2 linked regions of the Drosophila melanogaster genome follow. The protein of the gene in region 1 interacts with the protein of each later gene in a pairwise test. Each region holds a gene or a part of one and is shown in the gene's direction. Other genes may lie near its edges.

What was found. The genes of interacting proteins can lie anywhere in the genome.
Region 2: the proteins of CG32075 (region 1) and Prosbeta5R1 interact in a two-hybrid assay, tested with the Drosophila melanogaster proteins (one large-scale study listed by BioGRID).

The regions. Positions count from the first base shown.
Region 1 is NT_037436.4:11,062,226-11,068,590, reverse strand, and holds CG32075 (uncharacterized protein), read left to right. Parts: upstream 1-3,649; 5' UTR 3,650-3,930; coding exon 3,931-4,070; intron 4,071-4,129; coding exon 4,130-5,129; intron 5,130-5,189; coding exon 5,190-5,404; intron 5,405-5,467; coding exon 5,468-5,688; intron 5,689-5,767; coding exon 5,768-5,817; 3' UTR 5,818-5,865; downstream 5,866-6,365. Other genes in the region: SuUR (suppressor of Under-Replication), read right to left, coding at 49-2,230, 2,317-2,495, 2,562-2,761, 2,869-3,196; CG45101 (uncharacterized protein), read right to left, coding at 3,217-3,423; CG32069 (uncharacterized protein), read left to right, coding at 6,048-6,135, 6,202-6,300, 6,363-6,365.
Region 2 is NT_033778.4:23,306,121-23,313,418, reverse strand, and holds Prosbeta5R1 (proteasome beta5 subunit-related 1), read left to right. Parts: upstream 1-3,602; 5' UTR 3,603-3,690; coding exon 3,691-3,840; intron 3,841-3,896; coding exon 3,897-4,694; 3' UTR 4,695-4,765; downstream 4,766-7,298. Other genes in the region: HP1Lcsd (heterochromatin protein 1L chromoshadow domain), read left to right, coding at 121-372.

The DNA.
Region 1 (6,365 bases):
TGGATTTGATTTGATTTGGTTTTTGTCATTTTCATTGATTGCTGTTCATCACTTGAACAGTTCCAATCGCTTTCTTTTGGTCGGTCCTGATGCTCCACCACTTCTCGCCGATCGCGTTTGACAAGCTGCTGCACTTGTGGATGAATTCACCGGCGTACTTGGTGCACTAACCGATTCCACGGAGCTGGTCTGTGAGGCTCCACCGCCGAAGACGGAGCCAAACCAGCGTGTTAGTTTCGTGGCCTGAGTGGATTTAGCACCCTGTTTGGGAGATTTGGGTGACTTGCGCAGCGATGCAAGAATGGAATTGCGATTACCATTCGAAGGTTGCGTTCGCTCCTGCGTAATTCCAGAACCTATCAAATAATTGGTGATTTTATTGGCCTGCGACGGCCTGACGGACTGTTGATCCGGTTGCACGGGCGATACTTCGCCAGAGGAGTTCAATCGCATGCGACTGCCAAATTGGCCATTGTTCGTTATCTCAAAGAAGTCATCTTCCAGCAGGGTTCTTCTTCTCTGCGTAATGGTAGACTCTGCATCATCCTTCTGGGTCAGTGGCAAGGTTGGCAAGACTTTGGGACTAGTTTTAGCCGACTGCTGTTGTCGTGGCTCGAACATTTGCTCCAGGATATCCAAACACGAGCGATCTCGCTTCTTTTTTGGCACCGATATATTTACTTTCGCTAGCTGCTGCTGAAACTGCTTCACCTCAGAGCCAAAGATCTTAAAGCCTTCGAAGGGCGATGAGGGTCTTGGTTGCGCCAGCGGAATCTGCGAGTGTTCCGAGGATATGCTAAATAGATCTGGAGATTTGTTGGCACTCCTCTTGGCCGGTGGTAGACCCAATCCGCCGCCGAAACTTGAATTGACGGACGTCACGGGTTTGCGTTTTCTTTTCAAAGCCTTGGTGCGACGACTCTGCGATGGATCCTGCGGAGAACACTCATCGTGCGAGCTATTGATCACCACTGTCTCAACTGGATCTTTGTAAAGCGGAATAGACACCACCTCAGAATCGTTGAGCAAATTGTGTGTAGACGGCAAGGTTAGAAGCATTGGAGTTTGTTGAGGTGTAAAGGGCACACGAAAAGCGGGCGACTCAATGGCATCCAAATTGTCTGGTATTCGCTGAGCACATTGCATGTACTCCGAGGACAACGAGCTACCACTGAGAACTTGAGGAGTAGGTGGCAAGTGCTTTGAATTCGGCTTAGTCTTTGTCTTCCCCAAATCTTCAGTCTTGGTTTGGCATTTTCTCGGACGTCCAGGCTTTCGTTTCGCAGTTCCTTGAGCAGGTACATCCACCGTCTTCTGTTTCTTTTCCTGCCCGACTTTAGACTTAGGCTCCTGCTTCACTATTTGTTTGCTACTTCTGGGCGTTTGGTTACCCTCCAACTTGACTCTCCTTGGAAAGCTACGCTTGACATCATCCAATGAGCGATGTTTCAAGTACTTACTGTTTATTTTTGTTTCAGCGGATCGTGTTAGGCGCTGCATTCCCCTTGTGGCTGGACGACCCACATCCACTGGGCTCACCGTGCGCTTTTTCAGATTTTTTCTTCTAGCTGTGGGCTCCGTTTTGGGCGTTACGATCGCAGTAGTGGTTCTGGACGGTGGTGGTGTGCTCAGAGTATCGAGGGAAACCCTTAAAATTCGAACATTGAGTCTCCTTGTCTTAGGTGTCAGATGAACGGTGGCTGCACGAGTTCTCTTCCTTGGCGGCATATTATCGGTCGCTTCATCATCCTCTTCGGAATCGGTGAGATCAGCTTTTTTGCGCGGTGACGTTTTTTTGCTAAATTTTTTCTTTGATTTCGTCCTTGGTGATTCATTTAATGAGGGCGTTCGATTTTGCGGAGTACTTGGAGGTGTTACAATCTCACAATCATCGCTGGATACAACTAATACCGGGTTTTGATCTGCATCAGGTTCTACTGTTAGGGGTTCATCGTCAGACTCGGAATACTCGAATATCAGCGGTGACATTGCCACATCATCCACGCTGTGCTCGGATAACCTATCCGTTTCTTCAAAGAGCCCAGTTTTATTTTGCTGAGCCGGATTGTTGTCTATGGAAGCGATTGTAGAGCACACATCTGAGCCGCTTATTGTGCTCTGGCTGTTCTTTGAGGCCAACCAGAGATTCAGATTGTGTTTGTATTGCTCCGGTGCGACAAGTGGCAGTGACTTGTCGAATTGATGACGAAAACGACGCAGACGAAAGTCCCTACAAATTATATAAGTTATTTTCATATGCAACTGACTATTCCGGTCTTATGCAACAGTGAAACTGATCGTTGCTGGTTCACCTACTTGATGTACTCGCTGAGGAATCCCCGCTGCTTGTAGTATTCCTCGAGATCTATGCGCTTACTGAATACCTCCTTCGGATCTGGCAGATGGAATTTTCGATCGAAGCTCGCAAAGCTTTTGTACTGATGCTCCAGTCGGCCGCCCAACCGTAGAACATTGTAGAGCAACCTAACGTCGGACTGCAGAGAGAGAGAAACCACATAAGCTAAAATGATATAAACCATATTATGAATGCATTGCCTCACCGTAACGTCAACACTGGAGATAAGAACGTTTACCCGTCCCTCGAATTGCTTCAGCAGCATGGAAGTGCAAAAGCTGTTGTTCAGCGAATGCCCCCGATTATCCACCATAATGTAGTCGAACTTGAGGCGACTGAGATCTCCAATGCTCCGTAGTTGGCTCCATTTCGCCAGGTAAACGCTGTGCGGGGAGTCGGTGGTATCTGTAAAGGCAGAAAGTGAAGGTGTTGAAGTTTAATTTTTAAATGGCAATAATGTGAAATTACGATAACATTCTTATCAACAAATCCATTTAAATATTAGGCATTACCTTGCACCCCCTGAATGATGTACACCTGGAGGTCAGTGAGAGTGTCCAAATGGAATCGCCAACCGGTGAGCAGTTGCTCATCGTTCTGGAGCACCACAAGTGTTTTTTTGGCGGGTGGTAGGGCACTTAGAAGTGCCGCCACCGTAGCGACCTTTCCAAGGCCACTCTCATCATTCAGGATGCAGAATTCCCGCTTAGCCAAACGATCGTAGACGAAGCGGACGGCATCCAGTTGAAAGCTCTTGAGGTACTGCGTCACGTGGCTCGTGACCAGTGCCTCATCTGTGAGCCGCACCTCCGGCGTTTGCTCGGATACAAAGTGATACATGATCCTTCAGAGAATTCGAATCAATGGTGTGCGTGATGCAGGGCCAGATAGATGGCAACCAGGATGTAGAATAGTTGCAGGTACGAGAAGATCACGAACATCGAAAATGAACCAATTATCATCTTTCGCGCCGCAGACGGCCCATCGAATTCGATATTCTCCGGATGCAGTATGTCCACCACGTTGTAGTTGTTGTTGATGATAACAGGATGTTGGATCTCGTACATGTGTTGAAACTAGTTAAGCTTCAATTTTTTCGGAGGACAATTTTCGTCCCTTTTGGGAAATTGGGTTAAGCGCTGTTAGTCATGGCGGGGGCGCGGGAAAAGGCTTAACAATCGAACAAGAAGAAAATATTATTTTTGGCTCCAATTCTATTTCACCATTCACACAGAACCGGCTGCGTCTTGTTGGCGCGATCAGCTGTTGGACGTTGGTAGTGTTGGCAAACGAAGCAATGTCTAGAAATAGCCAAAAGAGATACTGCTCTTGATTAATAGCAAAATATTAAAAAAAACTTACTGAACCGACAAGGATTAGTAAAATACATTAGGTTGGAAACCTTTGGCGAGTAAAATGTTTTTAAATTAAATTATTTATTCTGCCAACTCAAAACTTGTGTAAGGAATTCATTTTTATAGCTGCATTTAGCTCATCACTGTTGCAACTGTTGTGATTTCGTTTGCGGTTTGTTTCGCATGGAATTTGTTTAAATTTATTCAGACCAAATTGCCATGGCTGTTGCAAAGAAGGAAAAATTTGAGGCAAAAAAGAAAAGCCCTGAAAAGGGAAAACAGCAGAAAGCCAAAGTTGTTCCTGTCACACCGCCACCAAATGTAAAACAACGAACTGTGGTCACTCCTTGGCGAGACACGTGCGTAGACAAAAAGTGGAAACAAATCCAATCCGTTGATAAAAACATTACATTTTCAGGCTGGAATTTAATACAACGTACAAATGGTTGTTTGGCAAGTCCAACACACCAGCCACATGGCGTCAAGCGCTCAGTAAAATCCGCATTTGGTGTCTGCGAAGAGGAAGTCTCTGCCCGGCAGCGGTTTTGGCCACATCGGTGCTTGTTCAGGCGCACTTGGAGGACCAGGAGGGCAGCGCCAAAATACAGGACACCTATGCCAGTGCCTTTACACGATTCTACAACTTTATGTCCTCCATTATCCAGGGACACAACATGTCCAGCATGTATGAAACGGCCAAGGAACTGGGCCTCCAGTCGTTCATCGTTGATCTGCGCCACTTGTGCGCCCATGGACAGGAGCTGCCGCCTGTGGAGGTGCTGAGAAACACCTCGAATCATTGTCTGGAGTGGCTGCGCACCTACTACTGGTTGCCACACATGGAAACCATGTCCAATTTGGATGCTGGCAAACTGCATCGCAAGGACAAGCTTAAGTTTGAAAAGGCTGTGACAGATCTTCTGGAGATCTACGATCTAACCCTGGAGTGCCATATCAAGGGGGCTGAGAAACTAAAGGCCATTAGCAAGCTAAAATCCAGTGGTGAATTCAATAAGATACGAGTCTACTCCTCCAGCAAGAAGGCGAAGACATCGAAAGAAATTCTGAGTGCTGTGTTAGGTGATCTAAGTGCGTTGGTCAAAAAGGAGTCATCATCGATGAAGGATCTGCTGGACATATATACAAAATGCCTGCTTAAAATGAAATACTTCCTTGGCGTTGGCTTGGAAATCGACGACAACGAGGATGTCATCATTGCAGCCACACAGGGACTCTTCCGTCTATTGGCCGTGCAGGGATATATCGAGAAGGTTTTTTTGGCCCTAGTTCAACTGAGTGAAAACCAAAACGAGTCGGAGCAAAGGCGTCTGGGAGCCAGCTACTGGGCAAAGAAAATGTTGGAAACATTTGGGATGCTGTTCCGTATGAAGCGCATGTACAAAGCCGAACTGGATTTGGTTAGTATAAATACGGAGTGTGTTAACGATGAAAACACTAAAATATTCTTTATTTTCCAGAACGATAAACTAAAACCAGCGGACTTTGCCACCCTAAACACGGATAAAATTTCTAAGACAATGCGCAGTCTGTTAGTACACTCAAATGCCGATCTCTCGGTTACCCTTATTTTTGGCGACAATCCCAAAAAGTCCAGGTCTTTGATTTTTGATCGTGATTTTATTATGCAGCGTGTTGATGCATTTAGCAATTACTCAGCGCCCATTCTAAAAGGGTAGGTATACATTTTTTTTTGGGTTTACTTGCTTTTGGATTAATAAGATTGACATTTTCTTAGATTATTACCGCTCGCAGATCCTCCATACACCAAGACGCAAATTGAGGATTTAACTAAACTCTGCGATGCACAGCTTGAAGAATTTTATGAAGAGGAAGCTATGGAAGAAGATAGCTCTTCAGAGGAGAGCAACAATCTAGACCGTTTGGAACGATTTTTGGAACAAGCAGCTCAAAGCAAAGAGCATACATCAGACTGGGGAGTTTGGAAATTAGACAAGCGTAAGTTTTGATTTGGCTTTGCATTTATGTGATTTGAAAATTAATCAATTATCGCTCTTACTGTAAATGCTATTTCCAGATACCGATTGGCCCAAATGTGCATTGGGTGTGCTCCCTTGGGCTCAATAAATACGCAGATTAATATTAAATAAAGTAATTAATAAAAACTAGTACTAGATCCAGATTTGAATTTTTATTTGGCGCGCATTTCTTGTCCATATAATCATTTACCATTCACACCGAGCGCCAACATCAGCTGAGTCTGCGCTCATAGTGAATGGCAGTCGGCATCACTGACGTCAACAATTATTGGCGATTTTGGTTTATTTTGATGTAAATAGGAATAACTTCGCGCAATTATGTTTACTTTGTGGACACTGATTGAATCTTCACTCCTGTGCCTGAATGCGGTGTGCATTCTGCACGAGGAACGCTTTCTGGCCAAGTGTAAGTTCTCATACAGTATTTTTGCTTCCAATGCCACGATGTTCAATTTTTTGGCACACTTTTTAGTTGGCTGGGGACGACAGGCGGGCCAGCAGGACTTTGGAGCACCTACGGCCAAGGATCAGGTGCTAAACCTCATTCGTTCCATACGCACAGTGGCCAAAAGTGAGTACCATATTACTATGTTTCTATAAACATGATTGCTTCACCATATCCCATTCTTTCAGTTC
Region 2 (7,298 bases), on another chromosome or scaffold:
TGACTCAAAGTCAACGACCCAGTGTTGCAAGAGTTTTGCATTCAACCTAAAGTGTTGAATTTAGGTGCTTTCCCGGTATAGAAAACTTATAAGTAATACTGTTTTATTTTCTTTTAGATAATGGACCGCACGCCATTTGTCCGGGGTAGGATGGTAGAAAAAATAGTTTACGTTTTTACGACAGCGAATAAAAATACGATGTTTCTGATAAAGTTCAAGGACTCGCCCGTGGTGGAAGTGGTTCCAGGTATCGAGGCCAACAGACGCATTCCCCAAATGGTGATCGAATTCTACATGGACCACCTATCCTTGCCCCCGCCCGAATCCCGGAAAGGCAATCCAAGAAAGAGAAAAGCCAGCGAGGATGGATGATTTATAATTAAATTCAATTATGCAGCAAACGAAACACGTTGTTTTTGGTTGCCTATCGTCTGGGCGGAGTTTTCTTTTCGCACCTTACCGCTCGAATCGATCATGAAAATTTACGACGCTGTTGGCCATAAAAGCCAAGCAGGGAAAACTAATTAGGCAGATATCAAATTCGGATTAATGGCTCTCAAAGAACCATAAAATCCTGGAGCGCAACAATTAGGATGCGTATCTCCGGATATGTGAGAGTTGGCAATTGGCTTGGAATGCCGGCAAATATGTTGTGTCAACCATAAAAGCCAACTTGAATGCTTTCGGCACTCTGGCCATGAAAACCAATGCAAAGTCGTTAGTCGTTAAAACCTACAAGAAGTTCTGCCCCTCAAGATGTCGATTCCTGGCGAGATGATGAAAAAGTTTGAGCGGTTGGCCGGGGAGTTTGTTTTATGGCCGCACTTCGGGAATTACTTTCCATTTATAAAATTTTAATCTGGCCCATAAATAAGCATTGCAATTGGACTTCGTGTACTTTTTGCCCGACTAATGGACTGTTCTCAGGCCAAAGTTTTTAATTTAATGCATCATCGTAAAATCCCGCACTTTGTTTGGCGTACAAATATTGTATTGTAGTTTGCCCCACTGGTTTGTATCTGACTTTGATGTCGGCGGATCAATGTGGATCAACTTTTTCATAAGCAGCACACGTAGACAAATTTAATGTAAATTGAATGGAAATTAGAAAAGCGTGTTTTATTGTATATGCTTCAGGTGAATACTTAACCTGAAGGTCATCGAAAAGAGATTTGAGTGGAAACTAGCTTAATGATAGCTACTATTGATTTTTTGATGTGCATTATTTTGGAAAAGTCTGGGCCGCAAGTGAATACGACGGCCTAATCCATTTGGCGGGCCTTTTTCAATTAAAATAAATTAAACGCAAATGTCAAAACTGCTTTCGGGGAATCCCCCGCCGCCGACCGTCGCTCTGTCACAATTTGGGCAGCTTTGGGGCTTTGACAGGTCCGCGGGACAGATGATGAACTACAAATTGGACGGCGGTGGTTGGGTGGCTCACTGAGATCGGTGGCTTGGTGGGTGGTGGGTATGATGCCCCAGTCATGGGAAAGTTTTGCGTCATTTTGGGAGCAGGCAAGTCTGGTTGGTTGGGCGCCTTAAGCAAGCTTAAAAGTTGCTGGCAACAAAGTTGGTGGGCTGAGTTGGCGAACAATAAGCAGTAAAACAACGGATTTGAAGGATTTTGAAACAATAATGCTAAGCGGCAAAAGTAAATAAAACGAAAGTGAAATAAAATATTCGCCGGCGAAAGTCCCTAAAACGCTTTTTGCTTACGTGCGCCTTAGTTGAATTTTATTTTAACAATTCTCGGCGGAGTTTCGTTTTTGTAATTCGAGAGCTTAAAAAGAAACTCTTTGAAAAGATTCGGGGAATATTCCTAAGCTTGTCAACAAGGTGGTTTATTTTTTATTACTCAGCAAAGTTGCCTAAGTGGATTGAGAGCAAAGTTATTCAATGTTTAGTGTCTATTAAGCAACTCGCTCATCTTGCATAGTTCATCTATTGTATAATAAGGCTCATGTGATTTCAAATTGTAAATAATTAAGAACTATGCACCGAATAAAAGGCTATTATTTTGGCTCTCAACTAAATCCGATGCCACAAAATCGTGCTCTTGGTCCAGCGCTGCAACGATTCGCAGACGGGAAGCTCAAGTTTGGCCTAATCTCTTATTCGCTCTTGACTTGGCGTCATTTTAGTCATTAAAACAGGTTCAGACTGAGTAATCTGCCAGCCACTTCAGGCCAAAAGCGAAGGGAATGGCCAGATTCTTCCACTACGCTGCCTTAGTTAGTTGCCCTCTAATAAACTGGCAGCGGAAATTTTTAACAAGTTGTTGCCAGTGCACAAAACTGGGCTGTAATTAACGCAGGACAGATGCCGCGCAGGGCAGGGAGGGGGAAATGGGGATTCGGGATGCAGGATGATGGTGGCCAGGAGGAGCTGGTGGAGTAGCATCGTCTGGGTTAGACGAGATTTTGCATATCAGATTGCTGCCCCGGCTCCAGTTTGTCCCTGCCCTGTGATTTAATAATCAGAGCTGGCTGTCAAAACTATCCAGCAACTGCAGCGCTGCGAAAGAATTGTCATATTTGTTGATAAGCTGAATACCCTACAGCAATCTAAAGTTTATATAATAAATATATACAAAATATACCGACAAACCTTAAGTATCCAATTGGATACTTAAATAATACTTAATACTAATACTTAGACTTAACATTTAGATAGTCCAGTAAACTATTATGCTTCGTGACCAATAAAATAACAGTGAGTGGTTTCATGTACTCATAGTTAGGGTATGTTTGGATGAAGGGCTTAGCCAGCTCGTTTCTTTTGCCTCGATTTTTCCTTTCCAGCCCGCCTTTCTCCGAATTGCTTCCGCCCCCTTAGTTTTCCATTCGAAGGGCGGGGGGAATGCAGGCTGCAATGGAAAGCGCGTGCAAAAATGAAATGTGCCAATGTGGCGGATGGGAGATGCGGAATGGGGAATGGGAAATGGAATTCGGTGGTTTGGGGAATGCGGAGGCCAAGTCCTCGGCAATTTGCATAAATTTAGATCAGTGACACATGGCGTCCACTAATGGAGGCAGTGGGAGCAGCCGGAGTGACTGCGACTGCCACTGGGATGGGACATATATCACGGGGGGTATCAGGCCAGTCGACCCGCGGACTCAAACAGTTTGGCAAACATTGCCAATTGGCCTTTAATTAGCGGCTAATCCGTTTGCCACCGCCTGCGAGTGGGCGTGGTCACTGCGAAAGCACCTTCTATGCCATTCCCCACTCGTTTTGGTCCCAATTTCGCATCTCGGCAGGTGGCGATGATGACCCTGCCCGGCAGTCCAATTAAAATGTCGTGTATCTCTGCGGTGGCGCCACTGCCACTGCCACTGCCACTGCCCACAGAAGGTCCATTGGATTCCACTTGGGTGGCCGGCGAAAGTGCCGCTGCGACCACTCTCACCCACTAACCATGAAATGCCAATGGAATCGGAGACTGCGAATTGCCGCTGCGGATTGTCCAGTGGAGCGAAACTTTCAAGCGGAATGCGATATTTTGATGGGAACAAGATGTCCAGCTTTCTGATCTTGTGATCTTGTTTTGATTAAAGTACATTTTTGATACACTTGTAAGATGCCTTAGAGACTTAACTCCACAATCATTCGAGCTCGTTTAGTGTGCTCATTTACACATTACACTAAACTATTTATTGGAAATAATAAACTCTTTTTGAACACATAATGGCTCTGGAAGCGATTTGCGGCATGAATAAAATGCCTTTTATGCGGCGCTTCGATGACTTGCAGTCCGAATGGCAGAAGGAGCAGCTTCGCGAGGCAACCAGTAATTTTGAGAATCCCTACGAACTGATGGCGCCTCCCTTCGAAAGAGTTAGTATAGGTTTCATAATCCAAAAGATCCATCTAAGATTGAAACTCTTCTCAAGCCCGCTGAAAATCTGCCCAAGATCCTGTCGCACTGTGGCATTCGCATGGATTTCGATCACGGCACCACCACTCTGGGTTTCAAGTATCGCGGAGGAGTGATTCTGTGTGCTGATTCTAGGGCCACCTCTGGCCAGTATATTGGATCCCAGACGATGAGGAAAATAGTCGAGCTGAACGACTATATGCTGGGCACATTGGCCGGCGGAGCCGCCGATTGCGTCTACTGGGATCGGGTTTTGGCTAAGGAGTGTCGCCTGCACCAGCTGCGCTATCGGAAACGCATGACCGTGGACACGGCTGCCCGGATCATCTGCAACATATCCACGGAGTACAAGGGCATGGGTCTGGTGATGGGCATGATGCTGGCCGGCTTCGACGACGAGGGACCCAAGCTGATTTACGTGGACTCGGAGGGCATGAGATCCCATGGTCAAGTCTTCTCCGTGGGCAGCGGTTCTCCATATGCGCTCGGCGTATTGGACACTGGGTACCGCTATGATCTCTCCGATCAGGAGGCCTATGACCTGGCCAGGCGAGCGATTTACCATGCGACCAGTAAGGATGCCTATTCTGGTGGAATCGTGCGTCTCTACCACATTCATTCGGAGGGCTGGCGAAATATCTGCAATACGGACTGCTCCGATCTCCATGACTCGTATTGCGCATCTGGGTGTCCGGGGAACGAGAAGGATGTAGGAAACGTAGGCGATCCCGACAATGATAAGCCCTGTTCCAGTGGCTGGACGAAGAAGAATATCACAGCAGACAATTTGCAGACTAAGCTGGCAACGGTATGAAAATTTGGAAATTATTGGAGCAACATTAGCAAAAATTTCTGTGGAAGTAAAACTTCTGTCGTGCAAAACGTATAAAGTGTTAGTGTTTATGGTAATGGGAATTTGTGGCAGTGAAGAAGTCCGGAATTTATCGTGAGAATAGTTTTCCGAACCGTATGCTGGATTGTTCTATCTAATCCTCTTCAGTTCTAAAAGCACACATACAGATACATTTCAAAGTTTTAGCCACTAATAATGAAAACAAGAGCTGCATACATACAAATGCCTTTCGCCCCGCACTCGCCACACTTTAAAAGCTGTGCTTCTATCTAATTTTTTTCACTCCTCAAACTCCCCTCTCTTCCATCCTCCACTGCGGAAAATATACGAGCAACTTTCGCTCGCTAAACGAACTTTTCCTATAAATCAAAATAATAACTTCTAAGCTCGCAATGACTTTCCCCAAATGGGCGTGCCGCACACAAAATACGGCCAACGAAATGTTCGCCGAAATGTTGCACTCCGTGTCTTTGGGTTGTCATCAACAAATGTTGCAGATGCCACTGCCTGGAGACTCCGTCCGGGGGATCTGCTCCTCACTGCCCATCCCCTCCCCCTCCCCCGCCGGAAAAGCGCAACCGCAGACATTAGCAGGCGTAGGTCATTCTCTCCCAAACGCCCCACTGGGTGGTGACCCTCATCCTCATCTTTATCCCCATTATCGTCCTCATCCTCATCGGGATCTTCCTCCTCCTCGTTGCACGACTGTTAAGGCGCTCTGAGCATGCGATAAATTTAATAAATTACAAACCAAATCCGCAAATTTGTTGAATTCCAAAAGAAGAGGAAAGAGCACCAAATGACTACACGGAGGAAATACGAATATTAAATATATTATTAAGCAAATATATCAAATGCACAAAATGATGTGCAAGTAGACATAACTCTCAAGAACGGTATTTTTGTAAGATATATAATTTGTGCTATGCACTATAACTTTTCTCTCAGTGCTTAAGGAGTTGGTGGTGGCAGCATTTGCACGGCGTTTTGGGCACATGTGAGTTGCAGAACGTGTGGTGAAACAGCTGGATTGTGGGGGGGCTGGAAGGGAGGCGGAGCAACATCGGGCCAAAAGGCGTTTTGTGGCAAAAAGTTTTACTGTAAATTGCTTTTAATCTAATGAACGTCGCCAGCAGGAGCTGCAAAACTGGGGGGGAATGGAGACAACTTGCCAGCCCCCAAGTCGTCCTCGAGAGTCATTTTTCCTCTGTGGTGTCATTAGAAAATTACTTAAAGCCAAAGCCGTGTGGCCCAAGTTCGGAAAATCCTCATTGCGGGTAAGTGGAGCAAAAGTGGCGGAAAAAATGTTGCAACCCGGGTTAATGGGTCAAAACTATTTTCCGGCAGCACTAGATTTGTGTACTTACTTCCATGGTGGCAAGAAGTGGCCACGCACAAATTTTCCAAACGCGTTGAACAACAAAACGTAGAAGTGTATTAAATTTCTAATATTTTAAAATGCCAAAGGTTTTACTCTTTAAAGAGTGGACTTAAAATTAAAATTTTCAGTTTAACTACCTGGCTGCAATCTCTACTGAAAATCGCTGTGCGAAATATTAGCATACAATAATGAAGTGGTTGTTTTCAAAATAACGCAAACTAATTGATAGTATCGATTTTCCCAAATTAGCTGGTTTCCTTCTCCATTACAAAATTCGCCCCAGCCTTCAGCTAATATGGCATAAAAAGCTTGTCGAAAAAAAAAAACGCAGCAACCATAATTTAAATTAATTTGCAAACAACAAGAGCGGCAGCAACAACAAGCTGCAACACCTGCGATGTTGCTGCTGCGCGTTGTTGCTGCTGCAGTTGTTGCGTTGTTGCTGCTGCTGCTGCCATTCCACTTTTGTCAACGAGCTCAAATTCAATGAAATTTCACACTTTGTCGTTAAAAGCGCGCCGCTTGCAAGAGGTGGAAAGTCCGGAGGGGGGCGTTAACTGTCAGGCATAAGGATGCAAATATGCAAATGGATTTTGCTACGGAGCGGCGTAGGAGGAGCAGGGGGAGGAGGAGGTGCATCCGAAGACGGCGGAGATCGTAAGAGTCTGCCAGAGTGTTTGACAAGCAAGCGTGACTGCTCGCTGGGCGGAGACTGGCGGAGTGGGCAGGGATGTTGCCTGCCGGTGATGATGATGTTGCCCCTGTCACCGGCCGAAGCTGCAGCAGCAACACTTGGCCAACAGCTACACACACACACACATAGATGGCGGCTCGGGAGACAGCGGATGTGGCAGCGATGCCTCGTTTGGCAGTTTCATTAACCGACTGCGGAGGGGCAGCAGGCGATGGGTGGCTACACGACACCAGGCCAACTGCAACTGCAACAAGAACAGCAGCAGCAGAAGCAGCAGCAGCAAATGCAAATGCAAATGCAACATCATCGCCCATATTAGGAGCAGCAGCTACAACAAAATCAGTGCACAGCGAAAAACTGAAGGGGATATATATATAAATATTTAAGCAATATTTAATAGTGCCCAGAAATGGAGGGGGTTTTGATGATTCATATGGTTCAGAGATTGATTGTCATGGTATCGATGTAAGAAAGTACCTATTCATAAGAA